Linked DNA regions of Canis lupus familiaris. Each later gene encodes a partner of the first gene's protein in a complex. Links are inferred from orthologs where the notes say so. Each region holds a gene or a part of one and is shown on either strand. Other genes may lie near its edges.

Region 1 (7,106 bases):
GGTGAGGCAGGGGAGGTGATGACGTTGAGCCGGGGAGGGGTTGAGGATTCCCCGGGCGTTGTGAGCAGCCGGTGGGTGCTGCTGGCGATTGCTCATGTGGGGAGCCCTCGGAGGCAGGGGAGTCTCAGGGGCCTGTGAGCCACCCGGCTGCAGGTGCCGGGAGCCTGGGGAGAGACCGTGTTGGGGGTCCAGACCGGGGCGATCAGCCTCTGTGCTGACGCCTGGGCCTGGAACTCCCTTTACCCAACAGTCCCTGGTGTTAGTTACCAGGTGTAAAGCAGAGAGGGGATGGGAGGTGACAAAGCGGAGGTGAGGCTGATGGTCCTACCCACCTCTCAGCCTCCCCGGCAGCCCTGCCCAAAACACTGTTTTTAGTTTCCCCGCCTGTGTGCTTGCTTGGATGGTCGCTGTGAGGGTTTTTTAAATCATCCGTGTTACAGTTTTAACTTTAGACGGGAAGTCCGGGCTGAGTTTTAAAAGGCTACCGAAGAGTAACTAAGATATATTTTATGCACGTGAGCTTTTGTTTACTTGGGAAATGTTTTTTTTACCCTCTCCAAGTAGCCTCGTTCTAGAGTGATGTCGTAGCTGGTGAAGCTGCATCACAAGTGGAAGGAGCGCAGCGGGCACTCCGCGGAACGGCCCGAGCCGTAGAGTCATTGCTGTGGCAGACAGCACAGACAGCGTGTAGAGCTGATGCAGAGAGGAAAGAGGGGGCGGCCACGGTGCCACTGGATTCATTTTTCTTTCTTGTAGCATAAAAAGTAATGGAAATGTTAAAAGAGCAGCGCAGGCTATCGTAACGTACGCAGTGCAGGAGGAATTGAAGTAAAAGATGAGCCTTTCCCATCCATTCTCAGGAGCACCACCATTAACATTTGGGTGTTTTTTTGTTTTTTGTTTTGTAATCTAACTGGGGTCTCTGCGTTCTGCAATGTTCCTTTTATAGAGATTTTGTCTGTGCACATAAGATCTGTGTTAGTGTAAAAATACAGTTCAACCCAATTCATTCAGCAGCTGTTTCTTGAGCTTTGGTGTGTTGGACTTTGCGCTAAGAGGGGTGGACGTGGGGGCTTAAAAAAAGATACCATCTGTGTCCCAAGGAGCTGCCAGTGTCCTCATGTTAGAACTTTCGCTTTCTTTTTACAGGTTTTGAGAAACCATCAGCCATCCAGCAGCGAGCCATCAAGCAGATAATTAAAGGGAGAGACGTCATTGCTCAGTACGTCACCGGTAGAGAATGGGGTTAGGTGCTTGTCAGCTGAGTACAGCGCTTTGAGGGGACCCCTGTTCTCCCTTTCCACATATGTGTCAGTAGCCCTTTCCTCAGCTTGAGCCACGGTGTCTTGTTTTTTGTTTTTGTGTCCTTTAGAAAGCTGTCATATTCTTAGCCAGCTTCACTTACCTAGCAGCTGGCATGCAGAATGGTTTAGCATACTCTCTTAATGGCTTTATTCCTGATTTGTGTTAATTTTAAAGACTTCTTTACAAGAAAAATTATTTTTGGAGGACGGTTATAGTCCAAAATTGCAGAAGAGAATTACATTTCTATAAAAGGGAGCCTCTTTTTTTGGAGTCTGTAACACCCGTCAGGGTTATAGATCCTGCGGCTCCGACTCCCCTAGTGCAGAAGTTGCATCCTCCTGATCTTACCTTATTGCTCGTGACCCCACCCCGGGCAGTGGAGGAGGAAGCCGCTGTTCTGCAGCTGTCCTGCAGCTGTCCTTTGGAGCACTGCTGTGGTGGGGTGAGGTGAGTGGGAACACATAGCCCATCCTTTTTCACCTCTACCTGTGTTTTCTTGAACAGATCACAATCTGGCACAGGCAAAACTGCCACCTTCAGCATTTCTGTCCTCCAGTGTTTGGATATTCAGGTAATTTGCCAGTCTTCAAATGAACTTATCTTTAATCCTTGGAAATACTTTTGTTTCTTTTGTAACTGCAGTGTCTGAAAAGGACGGTTTTTAAAAATGTGTACTTAGTTGTACTGACTCAAATTTTTCATGATATTCTTAATTACACACTAATAGGAGAGCTAACTAATACTCTGTCCTAAGTTCCTTGTCAGCTAAATGGAGAGAGACATTTTTAGTGGGCATTCTTTTAGTGGCCAAGCAAGAATTCTGCCCAGTGAACCCCATGATGACTGGGTTCACACATGAACTTACATTCAGGTTCCTTTGTCTCTATTAGAAATGAGATGTATGGTTAATGCGATGTAACATTCAAGATAGATCTGCATCTGACTTCGTGCAGTCTGCCTTGAGAATACTGAGGATTCTCTGTTTTCTGACAAATTATTTTACCAGGTTCGTGAAACCCAGGCTTTGATCTTGGCTCCAACGAGAGAATTAGCTGTGCAGATCCAGAAGGTGAGCCACTGAGAGTTAGTGCTGTATTCCCAAGTGCTGCTTTCTGATTCAGGTGTAAAAGGTTGGCTGGTTGATTTAATCTAATCCTGTTTTTTTCCCTCAAATTTTACTTCCTGATTTTTGGCATAAATCATTGTTATGATTTATGTTGTTGGTTTATACTGAGTCATTTTTACTGAGTCATTTTTAGTGTAGCTGGTATGATTCCAGTATCTTTTTGCAGTCTCAGAATTGTAGTTTTTTTCAACAAAGAAATCATTTTAGTAGTTATTTTTGTACTTTATATTAAGATGTTGTTAGAATTGTTTGTGAGTGGCTAAAATTATGAGTTTTACGTATTTCCAGGGCTTTTTGTAATTAAAATGTATTTCTTTCATAAGAAACCAGTAAAGTGAACTTTATTTTGGCATGGAAGCAGGAGGTTGGGTCTTTTTGTAGTTTTATGGTGTAAACGATGGAATAAGTAGTACTTGGTATGTCGGAGTAGAGATTACCTTCACTTTGGGGAAACTTGGAGGTCTCTGACTTTGGTCCTGAGGTGAGGCCCCAGACGTGACCCTTGTTTTAATTCAGGGTCTGCTCGCTCTGGGGGACTACATGAATGTGCAGTGCCATGCCTGCATCGGGGGCACCAATGTGGGAGAGGACATCAGGAAGCTGGACTACGGGCAGCACGTTGTTGCTGGCACACCTGGACGTGTCTTTGGTAAGTGCTTGGGGCGTTACAAGAAGTGCTTGAAGGACCCAGGACCGTTTCCATTTGCTGTGCTGTGTGGTAGCGCTTGCGTGCAAGTGATGTAAGAAGTAGGCAAGAGGCCTCAGAAATGCTCTGAAAACCAGGGGGAATGGCTGGCTGTTTCCTCGTGGTCCGAGGTCTAAGGATATCAAACTGATTCCACAGATATGATTCGGCGCAGGAGTTTGAGGACACGGGCCATCAAGATGTTGGTGTTGGATGAGGCTGATGAAATGTTAAATAAAGGTAGGAGTCACGAAAGCAGAGATTTTCTCTTGACTTTAATGTTAACACGTTCACATCGTGGAGCTGAAACATGGAGCTAACGCCAGTGTTCTCGGTGCTAGCAGATGCCCTCGTGCTCTCCGGGCAGCTGTGAACGTGAAGCTTGTACTTGGCTCTTGGGGAGCTGAGAGCAGTCACGGCCAGAACCACAGCATCTCCGCCCAGACTGGCGCAGCATTGCTCCCACATGTCTGGAGCTCAGCATAGATGGGGAGGTGTGCGGCTGAGATGAGGCGTGTAGAAATGCCTACTGTGGGTTGTGGGGGGCACAACGGTGTGTCAGGGAAGCTAGATTTATGGCAACGGGGCGTCCCATTGTCTAGAGACTGTCATTTATTTAACTAGTTGTCCTGTTAGTTGTCTAGGCTGATTTTACTCTTTTACCAGTTAATAGGATAAATTTCTAGACTGGGACGTGTACTTTCTAGGCTTTTCATGTTGTTTCTACCTGAGTGTCTGAGGACAGATCTGTGATGCCTCTCTGTGTGGCAGCTGTGGCGTTAGTCCAGCGGTGAGGAAATACATCGTGAAGATGTACCTTGAGCCCGGGGCATTGTTACGTGCAGCGACAGGCAGTGCTCCCTCGTGTCTCCCCGCTTGTCCTTTCTGCACACGCCCTCCCCTTCGGTCTCCACATCATACTGGGGGGTATGGGGTGTCTCATAGACATCGGGGTCATCCAGGTGGAGGGAGTGCTTGCCTCTCAGTGCTCATCTGCTGCACGGGTGGGACCCTCAATGGTTCTGATGTCCAGGTCCCTGGAGGCTGATGCTGTCCTGAGGGCTGCCCCCCCGCCCCTCCAGCCCAGGGCTTCTCACCTGAAGACTTTGCTCCTCAGCTGAGAGAGAGGCATAGTGACTGGGGCACTCAGGTGGCTTCCTTAGTGTCTGAGGAAGCCATGGCTTGCTGGTGGCTCCTGTGCACCTGTCCCATGGGCAGCAGTTCTCAGAGTGAGGTCTCCAGACCACCAGGGTTCACGTTATCTGGGAATTTGTTAGAAATGCAGATCTTGGGCTCTGATGTTTGGTTACAACCTCAGTCTGTGAATGGGCTCTCTTGGAGGCTGGGGACCCCCTTGTCTGGGCTTTCTCACACATACTTCCTGGCCCTGTCCTGCCCAGTCAGGCAGAGATGGGGGTGGGGTGAGTGACCTGTGGGCCAGGTCCCAACGATGGAGGTATAATTGACACGTGATGCATTAGTTTCTAGTACACAACTGTAATGATTCCGTATATACATATAGAAGATTTTTTTAACTGGAAGATTGTTTTATAAAAATCCAGATCCCTGGATTCTCTTAAATGTGGGTGATCTTTCCTCAGCGGACAGATCCTCACAGGGTGGCAGGAGCTGGGACTGGGGTCCTGACTGCCAAGAGGCAGCCGAGGTCGTGGGATGACCCAGGGCTGGGGTTCTTTTGCTCTTAAGCATTGGCACCCAGGCCTCCGGGTGGGGCTGTGATCCCCAGAGCCCACCTGGGAGGGGAGGGGTGAGGAGCGGCAGAGAAGTGGGGCACGTGGATTTCCTGGTTCTGTGGAAGATTCCTGGGGAAACCTCACACCTCACAGTCGTCACTTCTGTGTCCAAGTGCAACCTTCAGACTCCCTGTGCCTCCTTCTGTGTCCAGGTTTCAAGGAGCAGATTTACGATGTGTACAGGTACTTGCCCCCGGCCACGCAGGTGGTGCTTATCAGTGCCACACTGCCTCACGAAATCCTGGAGATGACCAACAAGTTCATGACAGACCCCATCCGCATCTTGGTGAAGCGGTAAGAACACCCTGCTTCTGGGTGGTACAAAAACAGCCACGTAGCTTGTATTTAAGCTTAAAACATGAAAATTCTTTGTTTTCTGGTTTGAGAAACCAGCTTACATATGTGTATTGCCCCTTGGCCCAGTAATTCGAAATTTATACACCACCTGATGGTGTTTGTCCGTCTGTGTTGTGGGGGTAAAATACATAAAACAGGGGCTACCTAGTGGCTGTTAAAGGCTCAGACAGGTCAGCATGTGGCCCGAATGGCGGGAGTGCTGACGGCCGGGAGCGGCGGGGGCCGCCGTGGGCCAGGCTAGGAGCAGTGCTCGGCTTGTGTGCGCCCTCAGGTCTCGGTGAGCGGATGAGTTCACAGCACTTGTCTGTATCTTCCAGTGATGAATTGACTCTAGAAGGCATCAAGCAGTTTTTTGTGGCGGTGGAGAGGGAAGAGTGGAAATTTGACACACTGTGTGACCTCTACGACACGCTGACCATCACTCAGGCTGTCATCTTCTGTAACACCAAAAGGAAGGTAAAGCAGTAGCTGTCTTGGCTGTTCAGTGTCCTTTTGGGCAAAACCGAAGGTTGGTTCTCAGAACGCAAGTCAGCCCTGCTCTGTAAAGGCTCAGAAGTGAACAGTCGGATGTATCCAGTGAAACCGAACAAGTGTTGATGCTGGTCTCATGACTGAGGCTTGGGAGTCCGTGGTTTTATTTATTTATTTTTTTAAAGATTTTATTTATTTATTCATGAGAAACAGAGAGGGAGAGGCAGAGACACAGGCAGAGGGAGAAGCAGGCTCCGTGCAGGGAGCCTGACGTGGGACTCGATACTGGATCTCCAGGATCACACCCTAGGCTGAAGGCGGCGTTAAACCGCTGAGCCACCATGGCTGCCCTAAGTGAGGAGGAGGGAGTCCATGGTTTTAGGTGGGACCCAGGCTTCGGTTTTTGTGGGCGCCCAAGTGATGATCATCTGCAGGCAGAGTGGAGAACCCTGGCAGCTCCTTCGAAACCAGAGGGGGAGTTGGGCTGCCTTCCAAGAGATTCAAATTTAAATTTAAAATGAGAACAGTGAGAGGTTTTTTTTTTTTTTTCTTTTGAGAAATTTATATGGAACAAATAGGAGTTTTGCCCCGATGTGTGCTAGGAAAGTTAAGTTTTCTGCACGTCTAATAAAGATTCGTCTGAATTTTAAGAGCACTTGCTCTCAGTGTTCACACTGGTTCTGCAGGTGATCACGATAAAGTCCAGAACAGTCTGGTTTGGTTTCTGAGCTGACGGTGGCATCTGCTGATTTGATGTGCAGGTCGACTGGCTGACAGAGAAGATGAGAGAAGCCAATTTCACGGTGTCGTCCATGCACGGGGACATGCCGCAGAAAGAGCGCGAGTCCATCATGAAGGAGTTCCGGTCTGGTGCCAGGTGGGCCAGCTCCTCTGTCTGCACCCAGTCCCGCTGGTGGTGTTGCTCGGGCCCTCTGTCCGCATGCCTTGCCGGGTCCCCCCATGGCCCCAGGCCCTGCCTTCCCAGCTGAGGTGGGAACTGCTGCTGGTGCCCTAAGCTGGGTTAAGTGGTGGCAGCCTCTCCTGGCTAGGATGGTCGCCTTACCTAAAGGGTGTTTCTTTGTTGCCTGAATGAGGAGATTGTTCGCTCAACTTGCCATGATCTTTAACTCAATCCCACTGTGGTCAGAGGACGTGCATTGATGACTTGTATTTGGATATGCTCAGTGGCCCAGCACATGCTTATCTTTCATATGCTGCGAGTGTGTGTCTGCGGGCCGAGTGCCTTACGGAGGCCACACACCGCGTCCTGTGCCTGCCCCGGAGGTGCAGATGGTCTGCATCCTTGCCTGTGTTTCTCTTAACCGTCTCCTCAGAATTGGGGGCACCATGGGTGCAGCACTTGGAGGCTCAGTGTGCTCTTGCTGGATGTGTCCTAAGGTCGGGTCTG
Region 2 (7,206 bases), on another chromosome or scaffold:
GTTTCCCTTGCGTTAAAATCCAATACCTTTGAGTTTTGGCCCATATTCTAGTTTAATATGCCTTGTAAGCCATTTGGTTTCTGTCCCTTCTCCAACTTCATTACTATATTCACAACTTCATTCTGTATTCCAACCACACAGTTCTGGGCCCTCTATCTGGAACATTTCCTTCAGGAAGACTTCCCTTAGGCCCCTAGATTGGATTAGGAGCCATCCCATGTGCTTCCATAGTAGTCTGTGCTTCCTCTATTTGTAACCGTTGCTTCTACATTATAATTGCTTGTATGCTCAACTGCTTCCTCTGCAAGTTCTATAAAGGTCTGTCTTGTTCACCATTGTATTATTCCCAGCACATAACAATAAGTGCACAGACCATGTTCTTTCAGCTATACCATGTTGTCTCATGCCCCCAAACCTGGATCCAGTCTGACTGGTGTCCAGTTCCTTTAAGTTTTCTCAAAACGTTTGATATTTGCCACATCTGCAGATGCCCAGATTCAACAGTTAACAGTATAATTTTTATAAGTTCACTCTTGGAAAATAACTTCGTGGTAATTACCTGATGAATCTATATACTTAATTGAATTACCGCCTCAAGACTGTTGTGAGGATTCAAAGAATAAGCATTTGTAAATGGATTCACATTTATTAGGTGCTTAATACCTCGTGGTTCCCTTCTCTTTTTCATACAATTCCCTTGTTACCACCCATATCCCATGCTTTCTTTTTTTAAAGATTTATTCATTTATTAGAGGGGGAGGGGCAGCAGGAAAGGGAGAGAGAGGGAATCCCAAGTGGACTCCCTGCTTGGGAGGAGGGGGAGGGCCCAACATAGGGTTTGATCCCGGGACCTCAAGATCATGACCTGAGCCAAAATCAAGAGTCTAATGCTCAACCAACTGAGCCAGTCAGGTGTCCCCCAGTGTGTGTGTGTGTGTGTGTGTGTTTAAATAAAACACCCTATAGTTTTATAGCAATTTACAGTTGGCAAAGTATTTTTCCAATTTCCAAGATTTTGTTTTCTATTCTTACAACAGTCCTGCCAGATGTATAACATTATTTTTCTCATTTTATTTTTTATTATTATTTTTAAAGACTTTATGAGAGACAGAGAGAGAGAGAGAGGCAGAGACACAGGCAGAGGGAGAAGTAGGCTCCATGCAGGGAACCCGATGCGGGACTCGATCCCGGGACTCCAGGATCATGCCCTGAGCCAAAAGCAGACAGACGCTCAACCACTGAGCCACCCAGGCGTCCCTCATTTTATTTTTTATTTTTATTTTATTTTTTTGTCCCTCATTTTAAAGATAAACTTGAGTGAACCTCGAGATTCACTGATCCTAGGAGAGGAAGGGACTGATGACTGTGGCGTGGAAGGTTAGTTCACACCTTCGATCATAGCGAATCAAATCACACAAGGATTATTTTAACACAAGCTTCCAGTGATTTTCCCTCTTCACACCCACTCTACACCAGTTATTTTTGGGGGGAAGAAAAGGAGTAATGCTAAGACTGGGAATGAGAATCAAGAGGCCACTGACCTCAATGAAGAACAGTATACAATTACAGTGGTCAGGCCCCCAGAATGATGCCATCTTAGCACGGTCTCTAGACCTGATTTCACAATTCCCTGCTCTCACTGGAACTTCCACGAACTAATGCAGTTTCCTAATAATTAGGGTTTTGACTGTCCTTTGCCTACTCAAGGAGGAAAATTTTCCACAGCCTGAAAGACTTCACAGAGGTCAACCAATTTGGCCTGAAAGGACAAGGGGCTCTTGGGCATCAGTCCTGCCCCGTTGTTCATCTGGGGCGGGGGGGGGGGGGCGGGGGGGGTTTGCAAAAAAGTACCAACGCCCAGGTTCAGGGCGGCGAGAGAACCTGATTGTCTGGTTTGGGGTGGGGCCCAAGCATCAGTATTTTTAAGATGCTCCCGAATGACTCCGTTGTGCAGCCAGGTCGGAGAATCCCTGCCGGGTAAGCAGAGCCTAGAAAACGAGAAGGGGAAATTCCATATCCAGTTTAACCTCTACCCGCAGCACCTGCTCTAGAGACCAGTTAAGTAGAAAGGGAAAGGTAGGAATTAAAAAAAAAAAAAAAAGTAAAAGTAAAAGGGATAAAAGGGAGAGGTCAGTTCCAGGGAAACGGCAGCGGCACCACGGATTCAGGAAAGGCGTCTGTGGGGAGCGTTTCCGTGAGCAAAGTTCGGCCGGAGCCAACTTCTGACCCACGCGCCAGCGCGTGCGGCGGTCCGTGGGGTCAGCTCCTTCATCACCGACGGTGAACAGCTGTCTCGGGCTCGCCCACGTTGGGCCCACGCACACGGAGGTCGAGCCTGGGGCGCAGCCCTCGCGGAGCTCAGCCGGACGTCGTGAAGCAGGGTCCCCAGACCCGCCGCCCAAGCCCGGGCGCCCTCGCGTCGCCTGCGGCCTCGAGCCTCGGGAAACCCGGGGGCGACCCGTGGCCGCGCTCCCGCCGGCGGCCGAGGGGGCGGGGCTGCGCTGACCCCGCCTCCGGGCGACGGGGCTCTGGTTTCCGCCGGGGGATGCGCCAGACTTGCCGCCACTTCCGGGAACGCAGACGGCCTGGGCCGCTTCGCAGCGACCGGCAGCCTCGCCTTGACGTCACATCCGCGCGCCCCGGTAAACGTCAGTGTTGGGCGCACAGCGCGGCGACGAGGTTTGCTGGTCAAGTTTCGTCTCCGTTGCCTCCTTATGAACCATGGAGAGTGACTTTTATCTGCGTTACTACGTGGGTCACAAGGGCAAGTTCGGCCATGAGTTCCTGGAGTTTGAGTTCCGGCCCGACGGTAAGAGCGGCCTCTGGCCCCGGCCGAGCGAGGACGGGGCCTGGGGTCGGGCGAGCGGGGAGGCCCGGGCTCCGGAATGTGCGAGGAGGAGCTAGGAGAGGACGGGACTGATGACTGCGGCGCGGATCTGAAAGGGCCACTCCTGTGACCGCTCCGCTGGTTCTTCCCATGTGCACGAACTTTTTTTTTTTTTTTTTTTTTTTTAACTAGAATGCTTCATTCAGCAGACACTGATTGCATACTTTGTGCCAGGCTCTCTTTCACAATTTGGGACAAGTTTCCTCTCATAGCGTATATATTCTGGTGCTGGGAGAGATATAAACAAACAAAGATTTCAGATAATGACGAGTGGTCAGAGCATGAAACAAAACGATGGAGTAATTGCTAAAAAGTGGACTGCTTTTAAGCAGAGTGGCCACTGGCGTGCTCTCTGGAAAGGTAGTATTTGAACTGAATCCTAAGTGACAAGAAGGAGAGCCAGCTTTGTGAAGCTCGGGAAGAAGGGCATTTTGGACAGAGGGAGTAACAAGTGTTAAGGCTTTGGGGCATGAACGAGCATGTTCCAAGTGGCCAGTATGGCTGAGGAAGTAGTGAGCTCCGAGGAGAATAGTAGGAGACAATGTCAGATAAGCAGGGGTACACCATGTAGGTCTTTACAGGCCATGGTGGAGAGTTTGGATTTTATTCTAAGTGCAGCAGGAAGCAACTGGAAAGTTTTAAGGAGAGAAGAGATGTGATCTCTTCCTGAAAAAGTATTCTAATCATGGAGTATGATTAGAAATAGAGTAATGATTAGAAAAAGTAATCTATTCTAATCATTGCAAGAGTGGAGACAGGGCAACTTATTAGGAGACAGTGAACAGTTGTCAAGGTAAAAAGGATGCTGGTTGGGACTAAGGTACTATCAAAAGCGCATAGAAGGGTTCAGGATACTGTTGGAGGCAGAACCAATAGGACGTTGCTGTTTGATAAGATCTGGGGGAAGGACCACTGTGGGGAGGAAAAGGAATCAAAGATGACAAAAATAAAAAATAAAAAACCTCCCACTAAATGGGGGCACAAAGATGAATCTGACAAGCCCCAGTTGTAAACAAACAATGATAGGATAGTGTGTTTGATGCTGTGGTACAAAGAAACGGAAGGGACTCTGGAGCAGAAAGAAGGCAACCTAACCTAACCCTCAGGTAGCCTGAGGATGGGAGAAAGCTTCCTGCATAAAATGACTTGGGGGAAGAGGAGTGATAGTCTTAGTAATGTGCAGGAGTTGGTTAGGCATTTGGACATCAACATCAAAGAAGCTGAAAACCAAAAAGTGCATGGGATGTTTCAAGCAGAAACCAAGTAAGGTGGTTAACTCCAGCTGTGTAAGAGTGGACTATTGCAGGAGGGAGCCTGAAAGGCAGGCAGGGGCTCAGCTTAGCAGTTATGCCATGTTGAAGAATTTGGATTTTTATCAAGAAGGCAGTGAGAAGGGATCCCTGGGTGGTGCCAGCAGTTTAGCGCCTGCCTTTGGCCCAGGGCACTATCCTGGAGACCCGAGATCGAGTCCCATGTCAGGCTCCCAGTGCATGGAGCCTGCTTCTCCCTCTGCCTGTGTCTCTGCCTCTCTCTCTCTGTGTGACTATCATAAATAAATAAAAATTAAAAAAAAAAAAAAAAGAAGGCAGTGAGAAGCTATTGTCATTATCAAAGTGTTAGAGTAACCTGGGGCACCTGGGTGGTTAAGTAGTTGAGCGTCTGCCTTTGGCTCAGGTCATGGTCCTGGGGGCCTGGAATCGAGACCTGCATTGGGCTCCCTGAAGGAGAGCCTGCTTCTCCCTCTGCCTATGTCTCTGTCTCTCTCTCTGCATCTGTCATGAATTAATAAAATCTTACCAAAAAAAAAAAGTATTAGAGTAACCTAATTAGATTGGTCTGTTACTACATCACTTTGTCTACCGTATGGAGAATGAACTGAACCAAGAGAGACAAGGCAGAGATAGTGAGTGCAGTGAGGCATCAATTAATCTGGCTCTTTTTACATGTGTAATCCCAAAGGTAAAAATTCATCTATTTCCTTTTCTCTTCTTTTCCTTCATATCTAGCATATAGCCTTTTGGATGCATATACACACAAAAGGCCTTGTATACCAAATATGCTTAATAATAAAACCAAAACTTTTCCACCATAGGAATAGATCAGAGTATTGCATGGTCACATGAATAATATGTAAACAGCATTTTACAATTTTCAAACTGCTTTCACAATTCATCTGAGCCTCAGGAGGCCTTATGTGCAAGTAAGTTACCATCACTATCCCTGTTTTCAGCTGAGGACATTAACCTGCAGAGATATGATTTGCCAGAGTCACAATGTTCTGCTTATGTTCTTTTATCACACCTGAGCTGCCTTTTGCAAGAATTATAATTCAATGTCAGCAATATTCTGGCTTTGAAGCTACTTAATAGCCGAAAATAAAGAACTGAAAGACTGCTATTGTTGGAACATCAGAAGTTTGAATAGTAAATCTGGTAGACGCTGAGGGGAAAGCTAGGATACATTTTAAGCAACAGCTGATAGTCTTGGTGAGCTAATGAAGCTTTATTTATACGTTTTTAATATACACTGAATTTGTTTTTTCGCTCCTCACAGGGAAATTGAGATATGCCAACAACAGCAATTACAAAAATGATGTCATGATCAGAAAAGAGGTAATGAGCCTTCTGAGAGCCTTTCTTTCACTACAATTTAGCCTTTTGTCATGTTTTTGTTCTTTCTGGGAGTAAGTAGTATTGAAAAAGAATAGAGAAGTATAGACATATCTATAGACACCTTCTAAAATTTTTCTCACATCTTTTAGTTTATATTTTCTTTTACAATGTTAAACCACTTTTGTAATCATTTAAAGTCTTGCAAATCTTGGTTTAAACCCTGAATCTGCTATTTACTCTATGCCCCTGGGCAAATAACCTGGCTTGATAAGTTTTAGTTTCTTTGTCTGCAGAAACAGATATAATTAACCTGCCCCCCCCCCCCCCCCCAGTGCTATCACAGAATTAAATACATTATACCTAAAGTGTTTTGTGTATTTCCTGGTGCATAGCTTTCAGAAGAGCTCTTTAATTTGCATTTGGATGGGGGAAAGGGAACATGGGAAAGCAGTTCACATCATTGAATGCAGGTTAGATGCCAGGCTTGGCACTTGGTGTTTTACATATGATTTTATTTCACCCTGATTGTAAGCCTTTTTGATTAGCGGTATTATATACCCTTTACAATGAAGGCCCAGATGTTAATTATGGGGCTTGTTCAAAGTCACCTCATCCTGACGAGCAAGAGATAGAGTGGGAATTCAAAGCTATGCCTGCCTCTGTCAAGTCCATGTGCTCTATTTTGCTTAATTTCTGCCTCACTATTGAGGCTTCATCAAAGCTTCTCTTTCCTTTTAACCACTTTGTCACATTTGAAAATGTCTTAACAGTTACTATATCTTCATACTGTTATGTTTAACTAGCATTCAGTTTTATGTTTACCCACATGTCTCAGCCTGCTTATATACATATATATTTTATGTGTGGACTGATATACAAAATGTATTTTAAAAGATGTGTCTCTGGTCTTCATAAGCATGTCATCTCGGTAGGAATAACCAGGGTTCACTCACAGATCTTTTGTTCTGGGTTCAGGTGTGAATTCAGTCTGTAAGCAAGGAGAAGTTCCAAGTGAACAGGATGTGCCAAGAAGTAGAAACCGGTAGATGGGGTATGATGTATAGTCACTGGGCACTTCTGGCCCTGCCCTCTTGAGCATGCTGAGGTCACACCTGAATGCCATCTACCTTACAGTGGTGCCAGAGACCAGTTTTTATTAGCAGGTTTTTTTTTTTTTTTCTTTTTAATCTTTAATCATTATCTGAGTCAGAACACTTGCTTAGGGATGCAAGTTAAATTCCATTTTTTAATTTGCTTTCAGGCTTATGTACATAAAAGTGTAATGGAGGAACTGAAGAGAATAATTGATGACAGTGAAATTACCAAAGAGGATGATGCCTTGTGGCCTCCCCCGGATCGAGTGGGCCGGCAGGTGAGTGTTAGCAACTGTCCTATAGAGCAGAAGTTTTAAGAAGTAAGAGGAGTTTTACTGCCGTGCGTATGACATTGAATCTGTGTGTATGTATTAATGGAGCCCTACACAAAGTACATTACCAGCACATTTGTCTAAGGAAGCAGTAATCCCACAAGAAGGAACAGAAAGCCAGTGGTGCTTCCTGACCACCTGCATTGGTGGATTTCTTCATGACTCTTCCCCCTGCCAGCCCTTCTCAGAGGTTTTGTTGCCCACCTCACTTACTGAGTAACTACTATGGACAAAGCATTGTGAACATACAAAGAGAACCAGAACATGGTTATTTCAGCAGT

What was found.
Region 2: EIF4A3 (region 1) and MAGOH share a complex: the UniProt entries of both Homo sapiens proteins name them as parts of the ALYREF/THOC4-EJC-RNA complex. The link is inferred for Canis lupus familiaris from reciprocal best matches to the Homo sapiens genes EIF4A3 and MAGOH.

The regions. Positions count from the first base shown.
Region 1 is NC_049230.1:2,446,187-2,453,292, forward strand, and holds part of EIF4A3 (eukaryotic initiation factor 4A-III), read left to right. Parts: intron 1-1,149; coding exon 1,150-1,222; intron 1,223-1,809; coding exon 1,810-1,876; intron 1,877-2,311; coding exon 2,312-2,374; intron 2,375-2,947; coding exon 2,948-3,080; intron 3,081-3,275; coding exon 3,276-3,356; intron 3,357-5,022; coding exon 5,023-5,164; intron 5,165-5,544; coding exon 5,545-5,683; intron 5,684-6,459; coding exon 6,460-6,575; intron 6,576-7,106. UniProt on the Homo sapiens protein: ATP-dependent RNA helicase. Involved in pre-mRNA splicing as component of the spliceosome. Core component of the splicing-dependent multiprotein exon junction complex (EJC) deposited at splice junctions on mRNAs.
Region 2 is NC_049226.1:56,147,850-56,155,055, forward strand, and holds the start of MAGOH (protein mago nashi homolog), read left to right. Parts: upstream 1-2,591; 5' UTR 2,592-2,721; coding exon 2,722-2,809; intron 2,810-5,440; coding exon 5,441-5,499; intron 5,500-6,760; coding exon 6,761-6,871; intron 6,872-7,206. UniProt on the Homo sapiens protein: Required for pre-mRNA splicing as component of the spliceosome. Plays a redundant role with MAGOHB as core component of the exon junction complex (EJC) and in the nonsense-mediated decay (NMD) pathway.